Macaca mulatta: one gene and its partners. The protein of the gene in region 2 purifies or fractionates together with the protein of the main gene of each other region. This does not show direct contact. Links are inferred from orthologs where the notes say so. Each region holds a gene or a part of one and is shown on either strand. Other genes may lie near its edges.

Region 1 (3,362 bases), on a different chromosome or scaffold from region 2:
AGGGAGCAAAGAATCTGGGCTCAAACCGAGGCGGTTTATTGGGAGCCGGACAGTCAGGATGAGGAGTGAATGAGGAGCTGAGGCTGGGTGCCAGTAAGGGAGGGCCAGCGGGAAGGGGACAGTGAGGTCACAGGCCCTCTGGGAGCTTGAGGGAGGGAGGAGGGGATGAAGCGAGGTGGGGACACATCCCGGAGCTCACCCTCTCCTGTCCTGCAGGAGGTGGACATCTACACCGTCAAGGTGGAAGACCTGACGTTCACCTCCCCGTTCTGCCTGCAAGTGAAGCGGAATGACTACGTGCACGCCCTGGTGGCCTACTTCAACATCGAGTTCACGCGCTGCCACAAGAGGACGGGCTTCTCCACCAGTGAGGCGGGGCCCGCAGGGCTGGGGGCTGCTCCTGAGCCAGGGCCGAGGGGCACCCACATAGTGGAGGGGGTGACAGAAACGGGCAGAGGGGCCGGGCACGGTGGCTCAAGCCTGTAATCCCAGCACTTTGGGAGGCCGAGGCGGGTGGATCACGAGGTCAGGAGATCGAGACTATCCTGGCTAACATGGTGAAACCCCGTCTCTACTAAAAATACAAAAAACTAGCCGGGCATGGTGGCGGGCGCCTGTAGTCTCAGCTACTTGGGAGGCTGAGGCGGCAGAATGGCGTGAACCTGGGAGGCGGAGCTTGCAGTGAGCCGAGATCACGCCACTGCACTCCAGCCTGGGAGACACAGCGAGACTCCGTCTCAAAAAAAAAAAAAAAAAAAGAAACGGGCAGAGGGAGCCATGGGGACATGTGTGTTCCAGCGTGAGCTCTGCCATGTAGCAGTCACATGGCCTTGGGCAAGTGACCTGAGTGTGCAGTGCCTCAGTTTCCTCATCCACAAAAGCCTGACACGGTCCCTGTCTCCAAAGCTGAATGACAGGGAGGTGACTCACGGACAGCAGTCCCGTCAGCTGTCAGGGGGGTGGACATTCCAACAGAGGGAACACAAGACTGGGGCCAGGGCAGCAGGCCAAGGCCAGCTGACCCGCCTGCGCCCCCAGGCCCTGAGTCCCCGTACACGCACTGGAAGCAGACAGTGTTCTACATGGAGGACTACCTGACCGTGAAGACGGGCGAGGAGATCTTCGGCACCATCGGCATGCGGCCCAATGCCAAGAACAACGTGAGGCTCTGGGCAGCTGGGCAGGAGGGTGGCAGCCGGGGTGGGGAGCATGGATAGGGGCAGTGGTAGGGGGGAATGGTGGCAGCGTAGGGGATGGGGGTAGCTGGGGCGGATGGGGGCAGCTGGCAGGGGCGAGTGCCTCTGCCTGTTCCCGGGTCCCTGAGCCCCTCAGCCCCACGCCTGTCTACACAGCAGATTTCTTAGCATTTACTGGAAGATGGGCCTGGGGACCCAGGCCAAAGCCCTGTCCTCCTGGTGCTTCCAGTCTACACAAGGGGATCAGTGACATGGTGATGCCAGTGGGAGGTGACGTCTGTCAGGCTGGGAGCAGGGCAGACAGGTGTTGGCGTGGGTGACCTCCAGGGCAAGAGGCGGCCCCGGTAGAGCGCACAGGGTTTGCTAGCCCAGGTGGGAGGCATGAGAGGAGGAGAAAGGCAGCTTTTTGTTTTCCACTCCCCCTTTTTCCTCCTGAGCACCTGGTAGGAGCTGCCATCACCTGAGATCAGGGGGTTTCCAGGGGAGCTGGGGGGGGCTTCTGGGAGAGAGGGTCTGGGCAGAGAGGTCCAGTGTGGCGGGTTTGAGCAGGCAGGAGGATGGAAGGCCGGGAGCCTGGAGTCACCGGGAGTGGTGTGGGCTGGAAGAGTGAGTCCCGGCCCATGGGTGCGAGGGTGGGTGGCACTCAGGGCAGTCATGGAATGTGGGCCCCGGGACGCCCTCGAGCCCGTGACAGCAGCAGTTGTCAGCTGGGCAGTTTCAGTGCCCCCCACCCCCGACAGAGGACGTTCGTCACCATCTGTGGAAACATTTGTGGTTGTCACTCTGGAGAAGGGGTGCTCCTGGCATCTGGTATGTAGGGGCCAGGGGCTGGTAAACGTCCTACAACCACAGGACCACCCCCTGCAAAGACTCCTGTAGCCCCTGGGGCCACGGCGCTAGCTGGGAAACAGATACTGGAGAGGGAGGAGGAGTCCTCGGGGCTGTTGGCAACTTGATCCCCTCTTCCTGTGCTGGAGGGTATGGGGGGTCTTCCGGAAGCCTGGGAGGAGAAGTGGAGACAGAGGCTGGACCACTGCGTTTCACTGGAATGTTTGCCTGAGCAGAAGTGGGCTTGGGAGAGGTTTTCTGATTTATGAAAGAAGCAATCACTGCGTTGCTGATAGGGAACGTCTTGATGGAGAAATCCAAGGGCAAGGGATAGCAGCCAGGCTCTGCTCCTGAGTGAACCTAGTGGGCTTGAGGGTGTCCACGTGGCGCTGTCCCTTGACAGGGTCAGGACAGCTGCTAGGGTGGGACCAGCAGTTGGGGTCTGCAGTGTGGAGATGGGCAGGAAGCTGGAGCCCAGCGCATGGCCTGCCTGCACCCCCCTGCCACCACCTCCTGGTGGGTTCCGCCCTCATGCCCGCCCTCTCCCCACAGCGGGACCTGGACTTCACCATCGACCTGGACTTCAAGGGCCAGCTGTGCGAGCTGTCCTGCTCCACTGACTACCGGATGCGCTGAGGCCCGGCTCTCCCGCCCTGCACGGGCCCAGGGGCTGAGCGTTCCTAGGCGGTTTCGGGGCTCCCCCTTCCTCTCCCTTCTTCCCACAGAAGGGGGTTTTAGGGGCCTGGGCTGGGGGGATGGGGAGGGCACATCGTGACTGTGTTTTTCATAACTTATGTTTTTATATGGTTGCATTTACGCCAATAAATCCTCAGCTGGGGTCTGGTTCCATTTCCTGGGGGCAAAGGAGGTTTGGGGTTTCCTTCGCAGGTGCTGAGGTGCCAGCCTGAGCAGTGGGGGGACCGGCCTTGGAGCCTGCTGGTGGCTGCCATTCTGTGGATCTGCATCTCCCCTCCCCTGTCGCTAGGCCTCTGGCTCCCTTCCACGGCTCTCTCTCAGGGTCTGTCCCCTCCTCGGCTGTCTCAGGCTCCCTCCGGCTCCCTCCCCTCCACGGCTCTCTCAGGCTCCCTCCCATCCACAGCTGTCTCTCAGGGTCTTTGTCCCACTCTTCATCCCCTCCTGGGTCTGCGCCCCTCCCCTCTGCAGTGCCCCTGTGTCCTCCTGCCTGGTGGGGGATGGGGTTGGCGTTCCAGCACAGCCAGCCCTCAAGTTTCCCAGAACAGTCTCCCCACCTTCCCCCAACACTCACATTGTACCTCTCTGGCTGTTTTTTCCTGTTTGGGTCCCTCCAAGGCCCAACTGTGCCCAGCCCTCTGCAGC
Region 2 (3,500 bases):
CAGATTTGTAAGAGTGTAAATGTAAAACTCTTTCTTACTGGAATGTCCTTTACAGAAGGTTGAGATAGTCATCTGAGCCTTTTTAAAGTAAAAAACTGCAGGTGAAAAAGGAGTTAGTTGATTTGAAAGTTTTATGTGAAATTCTGGGTTGTGTAAATAAAAAGTTGCTAGGAATTGGCAAGGTAGTGAAGTGGTGACTCATGCAGGTAATGTAATTGTTAGATTTTTTAGCAAATCAGATAGGCATATGTCAATATAAACACAATGTTGAATTCAAACAATCTGTTGAATTAAATTCTGCTGATTACAGTAATTCTAATTTAAGAAAAATTCCAAACTGTAGATTTATTTTTCTCTGATCAGTAAAAAAAAAATTGAATTCCAGCTTGACTTTAGCTGTTGAAGTGAGAAGTCTGAGAAGGTGCATGTTAATGAGCCAGTGACCCATAGGTAGCTAGGTTAAAGACACTTTGGATTTGGATAATCCGGGAAGCAGTTAATCCCTAATTGTTGAACAGGCAGTCCTGGGTAAAGAGGACCTAAAATGCTGCACTATTAACAGCATTAGACGGCCAGGTTTGTACTTCATAGATTTAGGCTGTCTTCTTCACAAGTTTTAGAAGAAGAATTTAGGAGCTAGAGCCCTGGTGCAGGATCAACAGCAGCTCATACTCCTGTTTCAAAATAATTTGGTCGTGGCCTCCCTTCAGTTTTAATGTGGCACTGGTAAATCTACCTGGTTCTGGCATGCTTCACTTTGATTTCCTGCTATCCTCTACTGCTTGCCTCTAAATCAAGGTAAAGAGCAGAGCAGGTATGTATTAATGTCACATTGTCTTGATTATTTTAAATACTTAAAATATACATGTTAAACCTTGGTATTAGTTTCAGAGGCAGTTTACTTTTCAGTACATAATTTAAAAGGAGTGACTTGGTGGGAGTGGGGCTTTAAACTGAAAATTGGAACAACAGCATGATGTGGAGAAAAGTTGTGCAGCGTTAAGTACATGCAAAAATTAAATAACCAAGTTTTCTCTACATAGCATATATGTTTACATTGGATGTCAAAAGTAACACAGTATTTGATATAATTACAGATAATTGTGATCTACATTTTAAAATATCAAGAGATCGTCTCAGTGCTTCTTCCCTTACAATGGAAAGTTTTGCTTTTCTTTGGGCTGGAGGAAGAGCATCTTATGGTGTGTCAAAAGGCAAAGTGTGTTTTGAGATGAAGGTAAATGCAATTTTATGATGTTTTTGTTTGATTTTGGAGACAGAGTCTCACTCTGTCCCCTAGGCTGGATTGGTGTGGTGTGACCCAGGCTCAACTGCAACCTCCTCGTCCTGGGTTCAAGTGATTCTTCTTGCCTCAGCCTCACAAGTAGCTGGGACTATAGGCACGTGCCACCACACCTGGCTAATTTTTGTATTTTTAATAGAGAACGGGGCTCCTGACCTCAGGTGATCCACCCACCTCGGCCTCCCAAAGTGCTGGGATTACAGGCTTGAGCCACCGCGCCCAGCCTTTTTTTTTCTTTTCTTTTTTTCTTTTTAAAATAGTGACAGGGTCTCACCATGTTGCCCAGGCTGGTCTTGAACTCGTAAGCTCAAGTGATCTGCCTGCCTGGGCCTCCCAGAATACTGAAATTACAGGTGCTTCATACTGCTAAGTTATCAGAGGTACTTATTTTTTGAAGCTTCCTGTAAATTAAAAGAGGAACTTGGAACCTTCATTTTGTTGTGACAGTTAAGTTATGTTAGAACTTGACATGCAGAGCTAGGCAACTTTTTATTTAGGGTACTTCATTTTTATCAAGCATTTGAAAGGGCCACCAAAGAGTGAAAAATAAAATTTGGTTAGATTACAGGTTTTGTTGGCGAGAAAAACATTAAATGTATCCTTTAATTGGCTTTAAGTTGAAGACTGACAACATGAACTGTAAAAATATTAACTATTCTTTTAAATATGGGTCAAATAAGTATTTAACATTTCAAGTTATAAGCACATCAGTTTAAAGTTCTTACAAATATTAGGGATGGGCTAGAGTGTGCCATCTCTTTGTATTTATAGCTCGAGGAAGATTAGCTCATGACCCTATGAAATAAGCCAGAGTTAAGGGGTTACCTCCTTGGTTTATGATTTTAATTATTTAATGATTCGACTTTCAGGTTACAGAGAAGATCCCAGTAAGGCATTTATATACAAAAGATATTGACATACATGAAGTTCGTATTGGCTGGTCACTAACTACAAGTGGAATGTTACTTGGTAAAGATTCTTTTTGACTGATGTGGGCTCATGAATGTTTAGGAGGGTCTGATATCCTTATTTTTTAACCAGACTAGAAGGCATTCTAAGCCTTTTGTCTGTTTTTATCTATTCTGTTAATACTTCAGACAAGTAATATTAGCACATAGTAGGCACAGGCTACATTTTAGTTTTTGTTCCTTTATTAGAAGTTTATGGTTGAAATAAAATCTTACCCATGATATGCAAATTGTCAACTAATTTGGTCTCTGCATATATATATATCCCTCCTAACTTTCATCAATTCTAGTACAGAGGTAGAAAAGTAATAGTGTCAGTGACAGGTGATTAGGTTATATGCTCATTTCTCTTGTAGCCTACATTTTAAGTAGTGAAATAGATGAGTCTTTGGACTATTTTAAAAATCTACTTCACGAAGGTTAATTACTTTCTTAGGTGAAGAAGAATTTTCTTACGGGTATTCTCTAAAAGGAATAAAAACATGCAACTGTGAGACTGAAGATTATGGAGAAAAGTTTGATGAAAATGATGTGATTACATGTTTTGCTGTAAGTTAAAGCTAACTTTCTATGTATAAATGGCAAATTAGTAGCTATATCTAGGAACTTTTAAGAAGCTTTATTAAGGTCAATCTTCAATAGGAGCAACATAAATACACCAGTCCCTGGGTTAGTATAAATACTCATTCAGCAGTTGAATTGGGAAAATACAGGACATTTTTGAGGAACTCACTAATTTCATTTTGACTGAAAACAATGAAGATGAAATTGACCTAGAAAATTTAGTCTAACTTCTAGGTCACTATTGTTTCTGGTTCTGGAGATACGTGCTTCATTGTTTGTAACCATCAGATTTCTTAACTGTGTAGCCCTTAGAGGCCACTTAATAGTTGTTTAACCTGTAGCTCCCACAGGATAAGCTTTGCTCCTAATTTTAATTATTAGTTTTTTAGAAAGTTTATAGGAAGCAGATAACTTGAATTTTTTGCTGTTTAACAGAACTTTGAAAGTGATGAAGTAGAACTCTCCTATGCTAAGAATGGACAAGATCTTGGCATTGCTTTCAAAATCAGTAAGGAAGTTCTTGCTGGACGGCCACTCTTCCCGCATGTTCTCTGCCACAACTGTGCAGTTGAATTTAATTTTGGTCAGAAGGAAAAGCCATATTTTCCAATACCTGAAGAGTATACTTTTATCCAGAATGTCCCCTTAGAGGATCGAGTTAGAGG
Region 3 (3,597 bases), on a different chromosome or scaffold from region 2:
GCATGGTGGTGGGCGCCTGTAATCTCAGCTACTCAGGAGACTGAGGCAGGAGAACAGCTTGAACCCAGGAGGCGGAGGCTGCTGAGCCGAGATTGCCCCACTGCACTCCAGCCTCGGCAACAAAAGTGAAACTCATCTCAAAAAAAAACAAAAACAAAAACAAAAAACTAACATTCTAGTTGAAAGAAAGCAACACATGGATGATGTAAATTACACATAAAAACCCATTCACTGAGGTTAAATGAAAATTTTGGAGTATGCCAAGGGGACCTGAAAGGGCCTCCTTCTGAGAGGGCGTCGTGGGAGGGCTTCAAGGATGGCGGGATGGTGGCAGGGATGTCGCGCCTCGTCTGGTTCGTAATGTCTGAAGCTCTTTGGTTCCGTTGTCTTTCACACCGCCGCCTCGGGCTCGCTTTTGCGCAGGGCCACGTGGCAGAGTTTTAGTTTAACCGCATGTCGGCCCACCGTAAACGGTTAATAACCGCCTTCGTGGACCAGGCCTCTGCCCTCCATCTTTGTGCGGGCGGGAGGTGGGGCGGGGACGCCAGGTGTAGCGGACAAGCGGAAAGGCGGCGGGTAGATCCGGGCCCCCAACCCCAACGTCAAGTTTTCAAAAAGCCCGCGCATGGCGCCCCAGGCCGCATCCGCTGGGAATGGCCCCCAGCGCGCCTCCTGCTCTCTCCCCTGCAAAGCCCTGGGCTGCAGAAGGCGAGGGGGTGGCAGACAGGTTCTGCACGCTGGGGGCGCCGGGGCAAGCGCGCACCGGGGAGCGCGCCCGTCCAACAGCTGCCGAAAACGGAAGTGGGTGCGAGGGGATCACGGTGATTGGCTGAACTGACATGTCTCTCAAGGGGCTGGCGCGAACGCCACTGCGGAGTTGGGCGCGGAGATGAGGAAAGGGGAGGGGGAGAAACACTGGGAACAGCCGCAGTGCTAGGAGGAAATGAATCGCGGCGGTGCGCGGAGGGCAGGGAGGGACCCATGTCAAGGGACAATAGGGCGCTCGGGAATGAAAGCGGGTTGGCAGAAGGGGAGGCGGGAGCGGCACAGGCCGCGGGCTTGAATAGACCGCGGAGGGCGGGGAGTCCGTGATCTAGAGCGGCGCTGCGGCGCGGTAGGCGGGATTAAGGGGAGCGAGGCGGGGATTGGAGGGCAGCCCTAGGCTGCCGTACGTCGGCGGTGACGCACGCCTCGGGGAGGGTGCGCGCGCGTTCAGCGGCCTCTTTGTGTGGTGCCCAGATAGGGGAGCGGAGGTGGCGGCGGCGGTAGCGGTGGCCTTGGTTGTCTTCCAGTCTCCTCGGCTCGCCCTTTCGCCGGCACCGCTCCCCTTCCCTCCCCCTTCCTTTCTTCCTTCCTTCCCTCCCCTTCCCTTTTTCCCTTCCCTGTCGGTGACCGGCGGGGGTGGCTCCAGCAGCGGCTGGGCCCAAGCTGTGTAGAGGCCTTAACCAACGATAACGGCGGCGACGGCGAAACCTCGGAGCTCGCAGGGCGGGGGCAAGGCCCGAGCCTTGGAGATGGAGAATTCCCAGTTGTGTAAGCTGTTCATCGGCGGCCTCAATGTGCAGACGAGTGAGTCGGGCCTGCGCGGCCACTTTGAGGCCTTTGGGACTCTGACGGACTGCGTGGTGGTGGTGAATCCCCAGACCAAGCGCTCCCGTTGCTTTGGCTTCGTGACCTACTCCAATGTGGAGGAGGCCGACGCCGCCATGGCCGCCTCGCCCCATGCCGTGGACGGCAACACTGTGGAGCTGAAGCGGGCGGTGTCCCGGGAGGATTCGGCGCGGCCCGGTGCCCACGCCAAGGTTAAGAAGCTCTTTGTCGGCGGCCTTAAGGGAGACGTGGCTGAGGGCGACCTGATCGAGCACTTCTCGCAGTTTGGCACCGTGGAAAAGGCCGAGATTATTGCCGACAAGCAGTCCGGCAAGAAGCGTGGATTCGGCTTCGTGTATTTTCAGAATCACGACGCGGCAGACAAGGCCGCGGTGGTCAAGTTCCATCCGATTCAGGGCCATCGCGTGGAGGTGAAGAAGGCAGTCCCCAAGGAGGATATCTACTCCGGTGGGGGTGGAGGCGGCTCCCGATCCTCCCGGGGCGGCCGAGGCGGCCGGGGGCGCGGCGGTGGTCGAGACCAGAACGGCCTTTCCAAGGGCGGCGGCGGCGGTTACAACAGCTACGGTGGTTACGGCGGCGGCGGTGGCGGCGGCTACAATGCTTACGGAGGCGGCGGCGGCGGTTCGTCCTACGGTGGGAGCGACTACGGTAACGGCTTCGGCGGCTTCGGCAGCTACAGTCAGCATCAGTCCTCTTACGGGCCCATGAAGAGCGGCGGCGGCGGCGGAGGCAGCAGCTGGGGCGGTCGCAGTAATAGTGGACCTTACAGAGGCGGCTATGGAGGTGGGGGTGGCTATGGAGGGAGCTCCTTCTAAAAGAAAATTTAAAATGCCTGGGAGTGGCTATTGGGGTAGCTCTTTTCAAAAACCCAAGTGGGGTCAACTCCTAAGCCCCACCCCCTCACACCCACACCACCGCCTTCCCTGTTTTGCCCTTGGGGGAGCCACTTCTAAGGCTGCTTACCCTTGGGGGTGTTCCTCTATTTGCCTGCCACCTCTCTTGTCTCTCCCTCTGAAGATGGACTCGGCCCCACATACACATTTTTGTGTTACAGTCATTGATGGACTCTATTTTTTTATTATTACTTGGACCTTGGTCGTTTTTATACTAGCAAAATGTCTTGTTTTAATTTGTGTTTTTTGGGGGGAGGGAGGGAGTGAACTTGCTGATTCTGTAGCAAAACCTGGGCGGGGGTTGGGGTGGGGGGTAGTTTACTTTGTTGTAAGGACTTGATAACCTGGCTACAGCGTTTTCTATGAAATCTACTTGGATCCCATGCCTGAAATTTGGAAGCATATGTACAAAAATCATTTTTACGTTTTATTTTTAATAAATCATTGTGTTTGACCGTACATGTCTAACATTTCTTTTCTAGGATCCATTCCGTACCGTTTTTAAGGGATATTTGTTTAAGACTTTACGTGTTAATTCTTTATTCTTGATGTGTACTTAGAGAAACTTAAGAGGTCCTGTGGTCCCCCCCCCCGCCCCCCGTTGCCCTGCTAGTTGCGTGTTGAATTATATCCCCTACAGGCAAAACTTTTGAAGTGGTGGATGTGGCTTTTTAAACTCTTAAGTTTCTGTGCATCCATCTCTTGTACTAAGCGATTTGCTTACCATCTTGACATGGTTGGTCATTTCTATGACAATTTACTTCAAACTGTGTACTGTGTAGTTCTATATAGTTTGTGTTAAGCATGTCATTCATATAAACTGTTTAAAATTTTTCAGATGGCCTAGTTTCATCCCTCTTACTGGTTTATCTGTAATGAATGGTTAAAAATGAGGGTTATATTTTACCCTCAGATGCGTTTTTGTACTTTCAGAGCAGGTTTAAACGGTTTTTTTCCCCCTCTATATCTGAACTGTTGTCCTCATGGAAATCCTTTTCCCGATCTTTGTAGCACCACCTACTGGCAGAATGGCAGAGTAGCTGCGAAACAATTTGTTTAAAAACTTGCTTAGGACAATTGCATCAGATATAGA
Region 4 (3,500 bases), on a different chromosome or scaffold from region 2:
GCAAGCTTTTGAGCAGGGGACAGATTCTAACAACTTTTTTAGCAGACCTTTTAAACTTTTTTTTTGGACTCTTGTCACTTGAATACCATAATAAAAGAAGACAATTACTCGCATATATTATTTTATTTAAGGACAGTGCCCTAGAAGATCACAGTCTAATTTATTTCCTTTTCTTTCCATCTGTATTTTCTGTTAGATATTAAGGCTAAGACATACTGCAGTTAGAACAACAAAGAAAAATGTTCCCGCCTCAAAACGTGAAACTTACACAGAGGATTTTATTAAAAAGCAGATTGAAGAGTTCAACATAGGAAAGAGACATTTAGCCAACATGATGGGAGAAGATCCAGAGACTTTCACTCAAGAAGATATTGATGTAAGTACAGTTACTCTGTTGGAAAAGTAATTGCTGTAGAGTTTTAGATATTAAAAGCACTTTTCTTCATGAGCCCCTTAGCTCTGTGTTTTAATCAAGCTGTCAGAATAAAGAAAAATGCTGCTATCCATTGCAAGTTGGGGCCACAGTTTCAAAGACAAATGTGCAGGATTTACATAGTGTGGTGAGTTTTAGGTGTTACCTAGAAATGAGTCTATAAATGTTCATACACTATTGGGAAATGTTTAACCTATTGTGTAGTCTTAGACTCAGCTTTCTTACAAAATGATAAAACAGATGATAATGAAAATAGAGTCAAATTTATATCAAGTCCCATAAGTAAACCTTGGCCCAGTGTTTTTGTCAACTTAAATATATATCTGAATTTTCAAAATGGGGGCATAGTCTAAGTGATTTGAAAATTAGGATCAGAATTCTATTCACTCTTGAATTATTATATTCCTGATAAGAGCAATAATTGTTGATAGTATTTTTGCTGGACATCCTAGAGTAGCTAGCAAAGGAAGTTGAATTTAACAACTTTGAATCTTGTCCTTATTTTAAAAAAGTAACATCTAATATCCCATGATGTTTTATATTTAACCGAAGAACAACATCTTTGTATAGATAATAACATTCTTACATGATTTTAATATTATTTTTAGTCATTTTGTGCACTTTAGTTTAATTTCAATCTTTTTGTATACCTTTCCTATTTATAAATGGTACTGAAGTATCACTTTCAGGCCCCAGAGCAACATTTTTTATTCAACCAGAAGGATTTCTTTCTTTCTTTCTTTCTTTTTTTTTTTTTTTTTTTGGAGACGGAGTCTTGCTCTGTTGCCCAGGCTAGAGTGCAATGGCACAATCTTGGCTCACTGCAACCTTTGCCTCCCGGGTTCAAGCAATTCTCCTGCCTCAGCCTCCTGAGTAGCTGGGCTTACGGGCATGTGCCACCACACCCAGCTAATTTTTGTATTTTTAGTACAGATGGGGTTTCAACATGTTGGTCAGGCTGGTCTTGAACTCCTGACCTCTGGTGATCCACCCACGTCAGCCTCCCAAAGTGTTGGGATTACAGGCGTTAGCCACTGGGCCTGGTCCAGAAGGATTTCTTATTGCTCTTCTAGGTTAGGTGATTTGTAGTTAGGGATTTTGTAGCTGCTGTCCTCTTTTTGAATTTTATGGTAATCTGGACAGTATTGGGGGATATTATCTATGAAGAGATGCTATTCTTCAGTTATGTATAAAATATCATGAGATGTTAGATATTACTTTTTAAAAATTAGAACAAGGTTCAAAGTTCTTAAATTTAAATTTGATATTACTTTTTAAAAATTAGAACAAAGTTCAAAGTTCTTAAATTTAAGTTCCTTTGCTAGCTATCCTGGGATGTTTAGCAAAAAAAAAAATTATTGACCGTTATTGCTTTTATCAGGAATGTAATAATTGAAGAGTGCAACAGGAATAGAATTCAGGTCCTAATTTTCAAATCACCTAGAACATAGACTCTCTAGACTCTAGGTTTGTCTACCCCGGACTTTCATATAAGTAGAATCATATAGTATTTGGTCTTTAGTAACTGGCTTCTTTCACTTAGCACAATGTTTTCGTGTTTATCTGCATTGTGGCATGTGTCAGTACTTCATTCCTTTTTAATACTGAATAGTTTTCGGTTGTATGGATATACCACATTTTACAAATTCAGTCATCAGTTGATGGGCATTTGGGTTTCCACTTTTGGTTATGAATAATGCTACCATGGTGCATGCTGTAAAGTTCTTGTGCAGACGTATGTTTTTATTTCTCTTATGTATATACCTTAGAAACCATTGCTAATCCAAGGTCATGAAAATTCACCCCTGTATTTTCTTCTACTAGTTTTGTAGTTTTAGCTCTTACATTTAGGTGTTTGATCCATTTTAAGGTTATTTTTGTGTGTGATATGAGGCAGGGGTCTAGCTTTGTTCTTTTCCATGTGGACATTCAGTTGTTCCAGCATCATTTGTTGGAAAGACTATTTTTTCCCATTGAATTATTTTGTCACTCATATTGAATATCAGTGTAACTGTAAGGGTTTAATTCTGGACCTTATTTTATTCCATTGATCTATACATTTATCCTTATGCCAGTACCACTTTGTCTTGATTACTGTAGCTTTATAGTAAGTTTTGAAATTGGGAAGTGTAAGTTCTCTTCTTTCCTTCTTGCTTTTCAAGATTATTTTGGTTGTTCTTTGCTCCTTGAATTTTCATATGAAATTTTAGGATCAGCTTGTCAGTTCCTGCAAGGAGCCACCTAAGATTTGGATAGGGATTGTACTGAATCTCTAGATTGATTTTGAGAGTATTCCCATCTTTATGTTAATTAAGTCTTCTGATCGCTGAACATGGAGTGTCCTTCTATAGATACAGATCCTCTTTAATTTCTCAGTGATGTTTTGTAGTTTTCAGAGTCTAAATTTGGCACTTTTTTGTTAAATTTATTCCTAAGTATTAATGCCTTAGAAACTTCTCTATTGTAAATAGAATTGTTCTCTTTTATAATATTTTTGGGTTTCTTATTGCAACTGAATACAGTTGATTTTTGTTTATTTTTTATTTTGAATCTACATCCTTGCTGAACGTACTAATTCTCATAGTTCTTAGTGAATTCCTTGGGATTTTCTAAATATAGGATATAGCAAGATAGCGCATATATAGAAGGGTGTAGCAGGATATCCCATATATTTATGAATCCCAAAGAATCCACTAAAAACTACGAGAATTAGTAGGATATTTCAACTGCAAATGGAAATAGTTTTACTTCATTTTTCCTAATCTGGATACCTCTATTTCTTTTTCTTACCTAATTTCCTTGGCTTAGAACCTCTAACAATGTTGAGTAGAAATGGCAAGAGTGGGCGTCCTAATTTTGTTCCTGATCTTGGGGGAAAGCATTCAGTCATTCACCATTAAATATGATGTTGGCTGTGGGTTTTTCATGGATGCTCTATCAGATTCAGTAAGTTTTTTTCCATACCTAGTTTGTTGAACTTTTTTGTTGTGGTGGTTAGTGTTTTTGTCACGAAATGGTATTGGATATTGTCAGATTCTCTTCCATTTTGATGATTTGGTTTTGTCTT
Region 5 (3,500 bases), on a different chromosome or scaffold from region 2:
ACAGGCGCCTGCCACTACAACCGGCTAATTTTTTGTATTTTTAGTGGAGATGGGGTTTCACCGTGTTAGCCAGATGGTCTTCTTATCTCTTGACCTTGTGATCCACCCACCTCAGCCTCCCAAAGTTTACAGGCGGGAGCCCCCGTGCCTGACCGAGAACATTGTTTTAAAAGATGTAATTCGTAGGGAGACATAATAGAAACTTTCTTTTGGGCCAGTAGGGGGAAGTGCTCTTTTACTTTCTCCCTAACCCACACTGCTAGTCTAGCCTCACAACCTTACCCACTATATACATGTAGTATTTCAAGATAACTTAAGATTTTTAGTATTGAGGGAAAGCTGTAGCGTTACAGGTATTTAAGTGGGTACACATGGTGTTATCCATTTGGCTGGGTAGGCACTCTAGCCACCACATGTTTACCAAGGGTAGGTATTCAGTCCTTCAAGCTGTTTTAGAGGAATTTCATTGAATGTTTCACATGCAAACTTGGAAATGGATGTGAGGAGACAGTTCAAAATGGCATTGAAAATATTAAGTGATTACTTAAAGGCTTATTTTATAATAGGTGGCAATTTTGGAGGTAGCCCCGGTTATGGAGGAGGAAGAGGAGGATATGGTGGTGGAGGACCTGGATATGGCAACCAGGGTGGGGGCTACGGAGGTGGTTATGACAACTATGGAGGAGGTAATAAATTCACCTGCAACCTTTATGTGGGAATTTGGAATTAATGGCTTTGTAATACTTGATCTTTTATTTCAATGTTTGTCACTAGATAAAGTGTTTGCTTTTGTTTTTGTGGGAGCTTTGTCCTAAATCCTTAGCATGTGTCTTTGGTTTAATGTTTTTCTGGTTTAATGTTCTTTTGGTTTAATGTATTGTTCTGAGGTCCATTATACTAGTGTTCCAATTTTTTTATAGGAAATTATGGAAGTGGAAATTACAATGATTTTGGAAATTATAACCAGCAACCTTCTAACTATGGTCCAATGAAGAGTGGAAACTTTGGTGGTAGCAGGAACATGGGGGGACCATATGGTGGAGGTAATTTATAACAATTGAGATTTTTCAGATGTTTGTGATTAAAGGATTAGCCTTTTGTGACTTAAAGGGAAAATAACATACTAAATAGTTTGGGTTGTGGGATATACGGTCTTAGTGAAAATAAAGAAATTTTGCATAAATCTCCACAGAAGTACTCAGCAAGCAGTTACAACATCAAATTGGGATTAGGGGTGTTGGAGGTGGGGAAGTTCAGTAGTTCAATTTCTGGTGGGGGCTGGTAAACAGCTAAGTAAAATTGTAACCCACATTGCAAGTGGTGTAAATTGGAATGAGGGTCTTTGAAGTTAAATTATTAAACCATGATTCAAACCATTGCTTAGCTTATTCTTGAGGTTTTTAGCAGGAGTAAACATTTTCTGTGTCTTGGTCTTGGTGTACTTTAAAAAAATCCCTTAGTCCAAATGAGGATGAGAGGACCCTTTATTTAAAAGAATAGCATAGCATCAGCCACGAAATAAAAATGTCTATGAACCTGAGTAATTTATCTCCCAAGTAATTCTGCTAACTGGCTGCAAAGGGTTAGGATCTGCTTGTTTTTATTAAAGACTGGATGGATAGAAAATAGAATCAGCTGTAGTGTTATAGTGATTATGGGAAATCAAAGTAAGTTTGTTTTCTCTTGCTGTTCCAACAATTATAGGAAACTATGGTCCAGGAGGCAGTGGAGGAAGTGGGGGTTATGGTGGGAGGAGCCGATACTGAGCTTCTTCCTATTTGCCATGGGTAAGTAGCTTTTGAGTTTTACAATTATTATTATCTTGGGAGACATAGCTGCAGGAGTAAAAGCTTTTTAGGATCATGTTATCTTTCCTTAAAATCTGGTTAGATGGATAATTTCATAACCTATTTTTTTTTTACTCTTTACTTCTGTTGAAACAGGCTTCACTGTATAAATAGGAGAGGATGAGAGCCCAGAGGTAACAGAACAGCTTCAGGTTATCGAAATAACAATGTTAAGGAAACTCTTATCTCAGTCATGCATAAATATGCAGTGATATGGCAGAAGACACCAGAGCAGATGCAGAGAGCCATTTTGTGAATGGATTGGATTATTTAATAACATTACCTTACTGTGGAGGAAGGATTGTAAAAAAAAAATGCCTTTGAGACAGTTTCTTAGCTTTTTAATTGTTGTTTCTTTCTAGTGGTCTTTGTAAGAGTGTAGAAGCATTCCTTCTTTGATAATGTTAAATTTGTAAGTTTCAGGTGACATGTGAAACCTTTTTTAAGATTTTTCTCAAAGTTTTGAAAAGCTATTAGCCAGGATCATGGTGTAATAAGACATAACGTTTTTCCTTTAAAAAATTTAAGTGCGTGTGTAGAGTTAAGAAGCTGTTGTACATTTATGATTTAATAAAATAATTCTAAAGGAAATTGTGTAATTATAGACTTTTTATTTTAAATAAGTTAAGGAGTGGGTAGTATAATTAAGGTCCGTTGCAAAGCTGTTGTTATATTTGTATAAGATAAATGCTGGTCAGATATAAGTGTGTTGTCTGCAATTCATCAGGATTAAATTATGTAGATAACTTAAGGGATATCTCTGCAAGGAGAAACACCTTTTTAGATCTTTTAGATGCTGCTTCTTCAATGCAAGGAAAGGAAATAACCCCAGCGAGGTACTCTTCAGGGACACAGGTCTAGTACAAGAGAACTCTTGACGGCTACTAAGTTCAGCCAGTCTTAAAAAACTGTGCTGTTTCTACAAAACTTTAACTACAGTAGTTTTTAAGGATGCCAACGAAAGCTGAGGGTGTAGAGCAAAATAGTTCTAAGCTTCAGTTAAACTTCTTTAGGTAAGATCTTATTTACTTTTCCTTTCTTAATTTTCCTCCCTAAAAGATAAACTAATACTCTTAAATGGTCTTTCAGTATAGTGGTTCTTACGTAGTTTAACATAGCTATAAATTGAGTTTAACAATTTATAAACTCAAGAGAATAATTTTTATAAACCCTGTTTTCCAATCTGTCATTTACTTAAATTATTTTGGTTGTTTTTCCCTTTTTTTCCTTCTTTTCCTACCCCCTCCCCCTCCGTGTGAAGATTTGGGTGCTTAACATATCATTTTTTTCCCTGCTGGAATTTTAGCATTGATATGAACCATGGACAAGTATATTCTGCTGCCACAAAGACTGTAAAGTGCTTCATTTCAACAGCTGAGGCAAGCCAAGTGATCATTAATAAAGCTTTTCTTGGTTCCTTCAGTGGTGTTGGTAGTAAAATGGTAGGTAAAAGTTAGGCTGCAAGTTCAATAAATCATGAGATTTCCCATCGTTACACCCTTGTGTATTCACATTTCTTGGATCAAACATTTTGAGTGAACTAGGGGTTTTTATTAAAGACATTTGTTGTATTTATGGTTGTAACTGTACATGCTTATCAGGAAGAGACTGAAGGTAGGGCAAAAATGGTTGAATCTATTTTCAGATAGTAGT
Region 6 (4,035 bases), on a different chromosome or scaffold from region 2:
GGCAACGGGAGAGAAAAGAAAGAAAGGAGAGAAAGAGAGAGAAAGGAGGGAAGGAGGGAAGGAAGGAGGGAAGGAAGGAAGGAAGAGAGGGAGGGTGGGCGGGCACACGAGCCACTCTCTGGGACTTCTGTTACAAATTGTAATGGACTTGATGAAAGTAAGGTGGAGTAAATGAAAACAACATAAAGGGCACAGAACACAGTCCCTAGGACACTTAGTAAATATCAGGTTTTATTATCATTTGGAATGGAGGAAATGGGCACAGACTGGGGACATTCTTTTTTTTTTTTTTTTTTTTTTTTTTTTTGAGACAGAGCCTCACTCTGTCGCCCAGGCTAGAGTGCAGTGGTGGGATCTCCGCCCACTGCAACCTCCACCTCCCGGGTCCAAGCAATCCTCCCACCTCAGCCTCCTGAGTAGCTGGGATTACAGGTGCCTGCCACCACGCCCAGCTACTTTTTCTATTTTTAGTAGAGACGGGGTTTCACCATGTTCGCCAGGCTAGTCTTTAACTCCTGACCTCAAGTAATCCGCCCGCCTTGGCCTCCCAAAGAGGAGTCTTAAATGAATTTCACTGAGGGATTTCAGCAGATTTTCATTACAATATCCACCCTGAAAGTGTAGGGGCCAGAGTTCCACGCTGGTTAAACTCTGTTGCTGTGTGAACTTATACCTGTAATTTCCACCTCTGCACCTCGCATTGCTTGTTTTTAAACTATGAGAATTGAACTCGCGGCCGGGCGCGGTGGCTCAAGCCTGTAATCCCAGCACTTTGGGAGGCCGAGACAAGCGGATCACGAGGTCGAGAAATCGAGACCATCCTGGCTAACACGGTGAAACCCTGTCTCTATTAAAAAATACAAAAAACTAGCCGGGAGAGGTGGCGGGCGCCTGTAGTCCCAGCTACTCCGAAGGCTGAGGCAGGAGAATGGCGTAAACCCGGGAGGCGGAGCTTGCAGTGAGCTGAGATCCGGCCACTGCACTCCAGCCTGGGCGACAGAGCAAGACTCCGTCTCAAAAAAAAAAAAAAAAGAGAATTGAACTCTAAGATCCTCTGAAGTCTAGCAGTCCTGCTGGTCGAACCCCCTTTACTGTTCCTGCCTACACTCTTCCTTCCCTTGACGCCTTCTTTACGTAAAAACTACATTTCCCATGAGCACCCATAGGCGTCCACGTAGCGCAGCCCTCCGCCGTCGCTCGCGCCCTTTATACTCACTTCCGCCCGCCCGCCACTTCTTTTTCTTTCGGCGGAGCGCGGCGGCAAGATGGCCGTGCAAATTTCCAAGAAGAGGAAGGTGAGCCTCTGGGGACTGGGTTCGGGGAACGACTGCGCCGCGAGGGTCAGGGGCTTCTCGGGTGCCACCGCGAGGCCTGCAGCTCCGTGCCCTGCCCTGGGAAGCGGCTTAGGCTTCCTGGCATTCCCACGGGCCGCGGATGGCGGTGGATTGAGTGAGAGGCCCGAGCCAGGCGGGCGCTGTGTGGCCGGGTAAGGGAGAGACAGGTTTTTCTCTGGTTCCGAGTGAAGCGCAGAGAGATGGGGACCAGGCGCCCCTTCTGTCCCGGAGAAGGCGTTTGTGAGCATTTTTTGGTCAATGGAATTAGTAAACGTGGTATTTTGAGGGCGTGTGTCATTTCCCTCATGTCTTATCCCATGGTTTTGGGAAGGGGAGGCAGCAGTGTATACTTGTCTTCTTACTGGTCGAGTCTGGGTACAGTCTGCTGGTCCCACGACCTCAACATGAAGGGTTACTGACGATTGCTTGCTCCGTCTGAGGACCCCGGGAGGAAGCTGCCTCGGATTTAACGCTTTGTTATTCCATGGGAAAGAACTGTGTAAAAATCATTAGCTTTAAAAATAGACAGTTTGTCATTTCGTATACCTACACTTCGATGTTAAAATTAAATCCACAACTCTTGTGAGTTAGGATTTTCCAGCTCTGTTTACAGTTAAAACCACAGGTACCGTAAGGCCAGATAACATGGCTGGGATTCTTTAGACGGTCCAGGTTGTGTCTGCAAGTGAGAGAGCTTATGTTAAGTCCACTATCTATTCTGTTCCTTCACAGTGACAAGTACAGTGTCTTTGCTGTGCTGAGTGAGGTGTAAATAGGCTATTTTAGAGCAGTTTCTTGTTTTGCATGTGGAACTGTTTTAAACCCTTCGATGAAGAGATGATGACGAGTCTGACTTGGGGGTGTTGCCTTCGCCCAGGTTGCCTACTCTGTGCTGCATTCTGTGGCACAGTTTAAAGGGCCCTGGTTGAAGTAACTTCCTAAAGATGACCTAGAGGCATTTGTCTGAGAAGGGTTGCTGCACTCCTGTTGGAACAAGGGTTTGGAACCATTGGTTGGAGGTATTTAGTTTTGGGGAGGGATGCATTGACTAATAAGACACTGGCTCAGGCGAAAGTGAGCCTACACCGATGTCCTAATTTTGAACTTCGCTTTTTTTGGATTAGTTTGTCGCTGATGGCATCTTCAAAGCTGAACTGAATGAGTTTCTTACTCGGGAGCTGGCTGAAGATGGCTACTCTGGAGTTGAGGTGCGAGTTACACCAACCAGGACAGAAATCATTATCTTAGCCACCAGGTAAAACTCACTTGACTGGCCATCACCTATAATTGTTGTAAATGCTAAGTTGGTTTATTCCTTTTTTTGTGTGTGTGAGACAGAGTCTTGCTCTGTCCCGAAGGCTGGAGTGCAGTGGTGAGATCTCTGCTCACTGCAAGCTCCGCCTCCCAGCTTCCTGCCATTCTCCTGCCTCAGCCTCCTGAGTAGCTGGGACTACAGGGGCCAACCACCATGCCCGGCTAATTTTTTGTATTTTTAGTAGATTCGGGGTTTCACTGTGTTAGCCAGGATGGTCTCAATCTCCTGACCTCGGGATCCGCCCACCTCAGCCTCCCAAAGTGCTGGGATTACAGGCATGAGCCACCGCGCCTGGCTGGTTTGTCCTTTGTGAACTTAAGGGGATAGACAGCCAGTGAGTCTGGGCTTAGTGAATGTAATTGCTTCTTAAAAGCTGGATTTTAAGGCCAGGCATAGGATCGCTTGAGCTCAGGAGTTCAAGACCAGCCTGGGCAACATGCGGAAACCCCCTCTCTAAAAAAGATAAGGTTGTGGTGGTGCACACCTGTGGTCCCAGCTATTCCAGAGGCTGAAGCAGGCGATGGCTTGAGCCCAAGAGGTCCAGGCTGCAGTGAGCCATTGGTGTGATCCAGCCTGGGTGACAGAGAGAGACCCTGTCTCAAAAAAAGCTGCATTTTGAAAATTTAACTTTAGTTTTTGTCAATGAAAATTATATGCTTTGTGGCAGAGATTTTGCTACCACATATATATTGCAAGATTTAAAGTTAAATCTAGCATTTGTGAGAGTCATGAATTGTCACTTTTTCCCCGCCCAGAACACAGAATGTTCTTGGTGAGAAGGGCCGGCGGATTCGGGAACTGACTGCTGTAGTTCAGAAGAGGTTTGGCTTTCCAGAGGGCAGTGTAGAGGTGAGTGATTCTGGCGTATGCCAGAGATAATGGCTCTTCAGAATGATAACTTCTAAAAACTGGGAGACTTTGTTCATTACAAATGGACTGATACAACTTTGTTGAAATTCTCTTAATGAATAATGGGCTTAACTTTGTAAGCCTGTTCTGCTAATGGTTGATAGTTAAAGGATTTTACATTCAACTTGGGTATAGAAATGATGCATATGATGGATTGACTGTCCCCATTGGTGTAGTTGGTATGGCCAAAGGAGCCAGGGTGGGAGGGCAAGGAACCTGCACTGTGTGTAGGTGGTAGAAGTGCTTTAGGAATTGAGGGATACTGAAATTATATGCTGTTTGTGATGGTGTTGTGCAGTCTTTTGGCCTCCGTAGGCCACGTTGGAAGAATTATCTTGGGCCACACTACTGGTAGTGCAAAAAATCACGATGTTCAATTTTTGTTGGGCCACAATCAAAGCCATCTCCTGGGCAGCATGCGACCTCTGGGTTGGGCAAGCTTGGTCTAGAAAGTGATGCTTGTGTGACATGCCAAAT
Region 7 (3,500 bases), on a different chromosome or scaffold from region 2:
CTTTAATTGGAAAGCCCTTCTGGTTTGTACGCCCCAGGATCTATTCTCCACTATTTTCCTCTGCACCTCCTACAGAATATTCTCTGAAATGCTAACCAAGTTATCTTTTGGTCTGGAATTTTTTCATTTTTACTCAACTGTCATTTAGGTTTTATAGCAGCAGCTACTCTCAAATATAGTTTTGTTTTTTTTTTTTAATCTGAAATTATACTCATTCTTGAACTTAAACATACATCTCTGTCTTTCTCTTGGGATATTTCCATGCCATTCTATATTTCCTTCTTCTCTCCTTCTGCATGCCCAAAATTCTATAACCCAGCACATTCTGACTTAGTGCCTCTCCCCCAGTACATTTAAAGGATATTTCTTTAACCGAACAGCTTTGGAACTGCAGCAGTAATAGAAACAGAATGAGAAATGGACCTAATATAGAGATTTGGGGGGGTCTGAATCATAGAGTTTGAGATGCCATCCATAGAACATCCCCTAGTGCTGAAATCCATATAGATAGATGTGAATTGTTTTCTGGAATCCTTTTTATTTTTAATGTCTTGGGGGGTTTGCTGGTTGTTAACTTTAACTTCCTTATCTAAAGGAAGATGGAAAATACTGTTCATTTCTGTAACCTTATGGAAAAATTATTGACACTCATTTTACCCAAGCCTCTGTTTGAAAAAGAAACTGGACCACACTAGGGACAATGATGTGCCTTCATAGCAGAACAAATGCTGTTCTGTTTTAAAGGACCTTTTGTAAAAAATCATTCACCACCCTCTGTGTTCTTTTTCTTTGCCTCCTCCCTCTCCTGAAAGCTCGGGGTTTGGATCATATTGCTGAGAACATTCTGTCATACCTGGATGCCAAATCACTATGTGCTGCTGAACTTGTATGCAAGGAATGGTACCGAGTGACCTCTGATGGCATGCTATGGAAGAAGCTCATCGAGAGAATGGTCAGGACAGATTCTCTGTGGAGAGGCCTGGCAGAACGAAGAGGGTGGTGAGCCTTTAACTTTTCTTACTATTACATGGCTTCAGGACCTGGCCAGTCACAGTCACTGAAAGATTTTTGGGGAGCCAGTGAGACCACTTCTCATTTAATATGGTGATTTTGTTGATTTGCAGCTTAAAATGTAACAGAGAACAAGTATTCATGTACTCAGCAGTTTTTCTTCTTACCTGTCACTCACAAAATGACATGATATTGTATTAATACTGCTTTGCAAAAAATAATGGAAAGTTTACCAGCCCTCCTGTTTAAAGCATTCTGTTATCTGGGCAGAAGTTGGTATCCTGCGGCTGGGTACAGTGGTTCACGCCTGTAATCCCAGCACTTTGGGAGGCCAAGGTGGGCAGATCACTTGAAGCCAGGAGTTTGAGACCAGCCTGGCCAACATGGCGAAACCCTGTCTCTACTAAAGATTCAAAATGTAGCCGGGTGTGGTGGCATGCACCTGTAATCCCAGCTACTCTAGAGGCTGAGGCAGGAGAATCGTATGAACCCAGGCGGTAGACGTTGCAGTGAGTGGAGATTGAGCCATTACACTCCAGCCTAGGTGACAGAGCGTGACTTTGTCTCCAAAAAAAAAAAAAAAAGTTGGTATCCTCCAAAAGGACTGATGGGCAATTTATGAGCCAAAATAAAGTAGATGACTTTGAATCACATAGAAACCATCCAGGATAGCTTTCCCCTAAAATAATCCAAGACAAATGATTTTCTTTTCTTTCAGAAAATTTATTGCCTTTATCTTATGCGTCTGGTGTTTTGTCACCTTTGTAATCAAAAATTATTTTTATGCTCAAGTGGAATAAGAACTCTAGCCATCAGAAAAAGTGAAAATGAAATTCATTATAAATCATTGTTTCTTCTTAAGACTTCTGTTTTTCAAGATTTTCTGACTTAATTCCGAATTCCCCAAAGCATCATATAGTTAGCAGTCTAAGAGACCTCACTACTTTTTTTGTTGTTCTCTTAACAGTGCCATTTCATTAGAACTTCTGAAAGATATCTTTCCTTAAATAATTTTCTCTCAGAGTATGTCTCTAGAATGTCACTATAGGAAAGCTACGTAGTAATAAAGGTAACATTAAATATTCTCGTTGACAGAAAACATTATAATAGGCATGTGTGTGCTTAGTGGTGTCCTTCCAAATTAATTTTATCTGTTGTTTATCTTGGATCATAAAGAGGAAAACAGTTAAAAATAGAGAACACTTGTAAAAGATAAATATTCATGGACCAGCTTTCCTTCGAATTTTCATTAAATATATTTGGGTCTCTTTCTTTTTTTCTGTCTTTGAAATTTATTAACACCTAGTAAATACAACGACCTATATTATACCAAATGCTTCAGAGATTTTTATCATTCTGGCTATTAGGAAGACTGTTTAAATTTTTCTCTCAAATCGAATTAAAGGAACAAAAAGCTAGGCAATTTTTAGGCTATGTAGAAAAGAATATTGTTGGCCAGGCAGGGTGGCTCACGCCTGTAATCCCAACAGTTTTGGAGGCCAAGGCAAGAGGATTGTTTGAGCCCAGGAGTTTGCGACCAGGCTGAGCAACATAGTGAGACCTCATCTCTACAAAAAAATCAAAAAATTAGCTGGGCCTGGTGGCGCATGCCTGTAATCCCAGCTACTCAGGAGGCTGAGGCGGGAGGATGGCTTCAGCCTGGGAAGTTGAGGCTGCAGTGAGCTATGATCATGCCACTGTACTCCAGCCTGGGCAACAGAGCAAGACCCTGTCTCTTTCTCTGTCTCTCTCTCTCTCTCTCTCTCTCTCTGTCTCTCTCCCTCTCTCTCTCTCTCACACACACACACACACTCACACACACACACATATTACTACTTCTCAAATATATTTTTTAATTCTCACTTATTTCACTACATAGAAAAATAGCAATCTTTCATAACCTACTTCATACTTTGGAAATAAACTCTTTAATAGTACAACAAAGCAAATAAAAATAGAGTTATATGGTATTCAGGGTCCATCATTTTGCTGAGTGCTGGGACCAGCCTTGAGGATACAGCAGGCAACTGTTTACATGGGAGAATTTTAGGGCAGCTGAGAAGATTTCTCTGTCCCTCAGAAAAAAAGAATCTCTTCTCCAAATAACTCCTGAAATTTCAATTAAGGGGATTCATTCCTTTAGCTATAAAGGTTCTGTTCCCTGTTAAAATACATTGTGTTCCCATTTGGACTGTAAATGACAGTAAACCTTCATCAGACATTGGGATTTTGCTGAGTCCTTTTTTGAAGGCAGAAAAATCAAGAAGTAAGTAGGCAGTTCTTGGCAGATGGATGTGAAAATGCCAAAGTAAATGGTAACTCTTAAAAGTATAATAAAAGACCACTTGGGAAAAGTCAATTTTCTTAATCAGCAGATCACATTTTATGATAACATTCTGAATTTAATATTTAACATTTATCATGTACTCACATTCTCGTAGGTACTAGGCATTTCACGTAGAAGTAGTCCCTGTTGTCAGAGATCTTCC

Evidence for each region.
Region 1: the proteins of HNRNPU (region 2) and PRMT1 purify together in Homo sapiens (affinity purification with mass spectrometry; 4 studies listed by BioGRID and IntAct, with this or other methods). This does not show direct contact. The link is inferred for Macaca mulatta from reciprocal best matches to the Homo sapiens genes HNRNPU and PRMT1.
Region 3: the proteins of HNRNPU (region 2) and HNRNPA0 purify together in Homo sapiens (affinity purification with mass spectrometry; 3 studies listed by BioGRID and IntAct, with this or other methods). This does not show direct contact. The link is inferred for Macaca mulatta from reciprocal best matches to the Homo sapiens genes HNRNPU and HNRNPA0.
Region 4: the proteins of HNRNPU (region 2) and MRPS9 purify together in Homo sapiens (co-immunoprecipitation; 3 studies listed by BioGRID and IntAct, with this or other methods). This does not show direct contact. The link is inferred for Macaca mulatta from reciprocal best matches to the Homo sapiens genes HNRNPU and MRPS9.
Region 5: the proteins of HNRNPU (region 2) and HNRNPA2B1 purify together in Homo sapiens (affinity purification with mass spectrometry; 4 studies listed by BioGRID and IntAct, with this or other methods). This does not show direct contact. The link is inferred for Macaca mulatta from reciprocal best matches to the Homo sapiens genes HNRNPU and HNRNPA2B1.
Region 6: the proteins of HNRNPU (region 2) and RPS3 fractionate together in Homo sapiens (co-fractionation; 3 studies listed by BioGRID and IntAct, with this or other methods). This does not show direct contact. The link is inferred for Macaca mulatta from reciprocal best matches to the Homo sapiens genes HNRNPU and RPS3.
Region 7: the proteins of HNRNPU (region 2) and BTRC purify together in Homo sapiens (affinity purification with mass spectrometry; 6 studies listed by BioGRID and IntAct, with this or other methods). This does not show direct contact. The link is inferred for Macaca mulatta from reciprocal best matches to the Homo sapiens genes HNRNPU and BTRC.

The regions. Positions count from the first base shown.
Region 1 is NC_133424.1:62,140,888-62,144,249, forward strand, and holds the end of PRMT1 (protein arginine N-methyltransferase 1), read left to right. Parts: intron 1-216; coding exon 217-367; coding exon of another isoform or gene 368-459; intron 460-759; coding exon of another isoform or gene 760-817; exon of another isoform or gene 818-1,038; coding exon 1,039-1,160; intron 1,161-2,576; coding exon 2,577-2,660; 3' UTR 2,661-2,862; downstream 2,863-3,362. UniProt on the Homo sapiens protein: Arginine methyltransferase that methylates (mono and asymmetric dimethylation) the guanidino nitrogens of arginyl residues present in proteins such as ESR1, histone H2, H3 and H4, FMR1, ILF3, HNRNPA1, HNRNPD, NFATC2IP, SUPT5H, TAF15, EWS, HABP4, SERBP1, RBM15, FOXO1, CHTOP, MAP3K5/ASK1, MICU1 and NPRL2.
Region 2 is NC_133406.1:4,250,634-4,254,133, forward strand, and holds part of HNRNPU (heterogeneous nuclear ribonucleoprotein U), read left to right. Parts: intron 1-1,097; coding exon 1,098-1,237; intron 1,238-2,172; coding exon 2,173-2,272; intron 2,273-2,707; coding exon 2,708-2,820; intron 2,821-3,270; coding exon 3,271-3,500. UniProt on the Homo sapiens protein: DNA- and RNA-binding protein involved in several cellular processes such as nuclear chromatin organization, telomere-length regulation, transcription, mRNA alternative splicing and stability, Xist-mediated transcriptional silencing and mitotic cell progression.
Region 3 is NC_133411.1:146,603,424-146,607,020, reverse strand, and holds HNRNPA0 (heterogeneous nuclear ribonucleoprotein A0), read left to right. Parts: upstream 1-1,345; 5' UTR 1,346-1,514; coding exon 1,515-2,426; 3' UTR 2,427-3,097; downstream 3,098-3,597. UniProt on the Homo sapiens protein: mRNA-binding component of ribonucleosomes. Specifically binds AU-rich element (ARE)-containing mRNAs. Involved in post-transcriptional regulation of cytokines mRNAs.
Region 4 is NC_133418.1:13,170,666-13,174,165, forward strand, and holds part of MRPS9 (small ribosomal subunit protein uS9m), read left to right. Parts: intron 1-196; coding exon 197-376; intron 377-3,500.
Region 5 is NC_133408.1:102,195,106-102,198,605, forward strand, and holds part of HNRNPA2B1 (heterogeneous nuclear ribonucleoproteins A2/B1), read left to right. Parts: intron 1-566; coding exon 567-686; intron 687-920; coding exon 921-1,043; intron 1,044-1,704; coding exon 1,705-1,766; 3' UTR 1,767-1,787; intron 1,788-1,943; 3' UTR 1,944-3,500. UniProt on the Homo sapiens protein: Heterogeneous nuclear ribonucleoprotein (hnRNP) that associates with nascent pre-mRNAs, packaging them into hnRNP particles.
Region 6 is NC_133419.1:75,815,685-75,819,719, forward strand, and holds the start of RPS3 (small ribosomal subunit protein uS3), read left to right. Parts: upstream 1-1,235; 5' UTR 1,236-1,265; coding exon 1,266-1,295; intron 1,296-2,158; exon of another isoform or gene 2,159-2,306; intron 2,307-2,458; coding exon 2,459-2,589; intron 2,590-3,404; coding exon 3,405-3,498; intron 3,499-4,035. UniProt on the Homo sapiens protein: Component of the small ribosomal subunit. The ribosome is a large ribonucleoprotein complex responsible for the synthesis of proteins in the cell. Has endonuclease activity and plays a role in repair of damaged DNA.
Region 7 is NC_133414.1:113,598,323-113,601,822, forward strand, and holds part of BTRC (F-box/WD repeat-containing protein 1A), read left to right. Parts: intron 1-812; coding exon 813-999; intron 1,000-3,500. UniProt on the Homo sapiens protein: Substrate recognition component of a SCF (SKP1-CUL1-F-box protein) E3 ubiquitin-protein ligase complex which mediates the ubiquitination and subsequent proteasomal degradation of target proteins. Recognizes and binds to phosphorylated target proteins.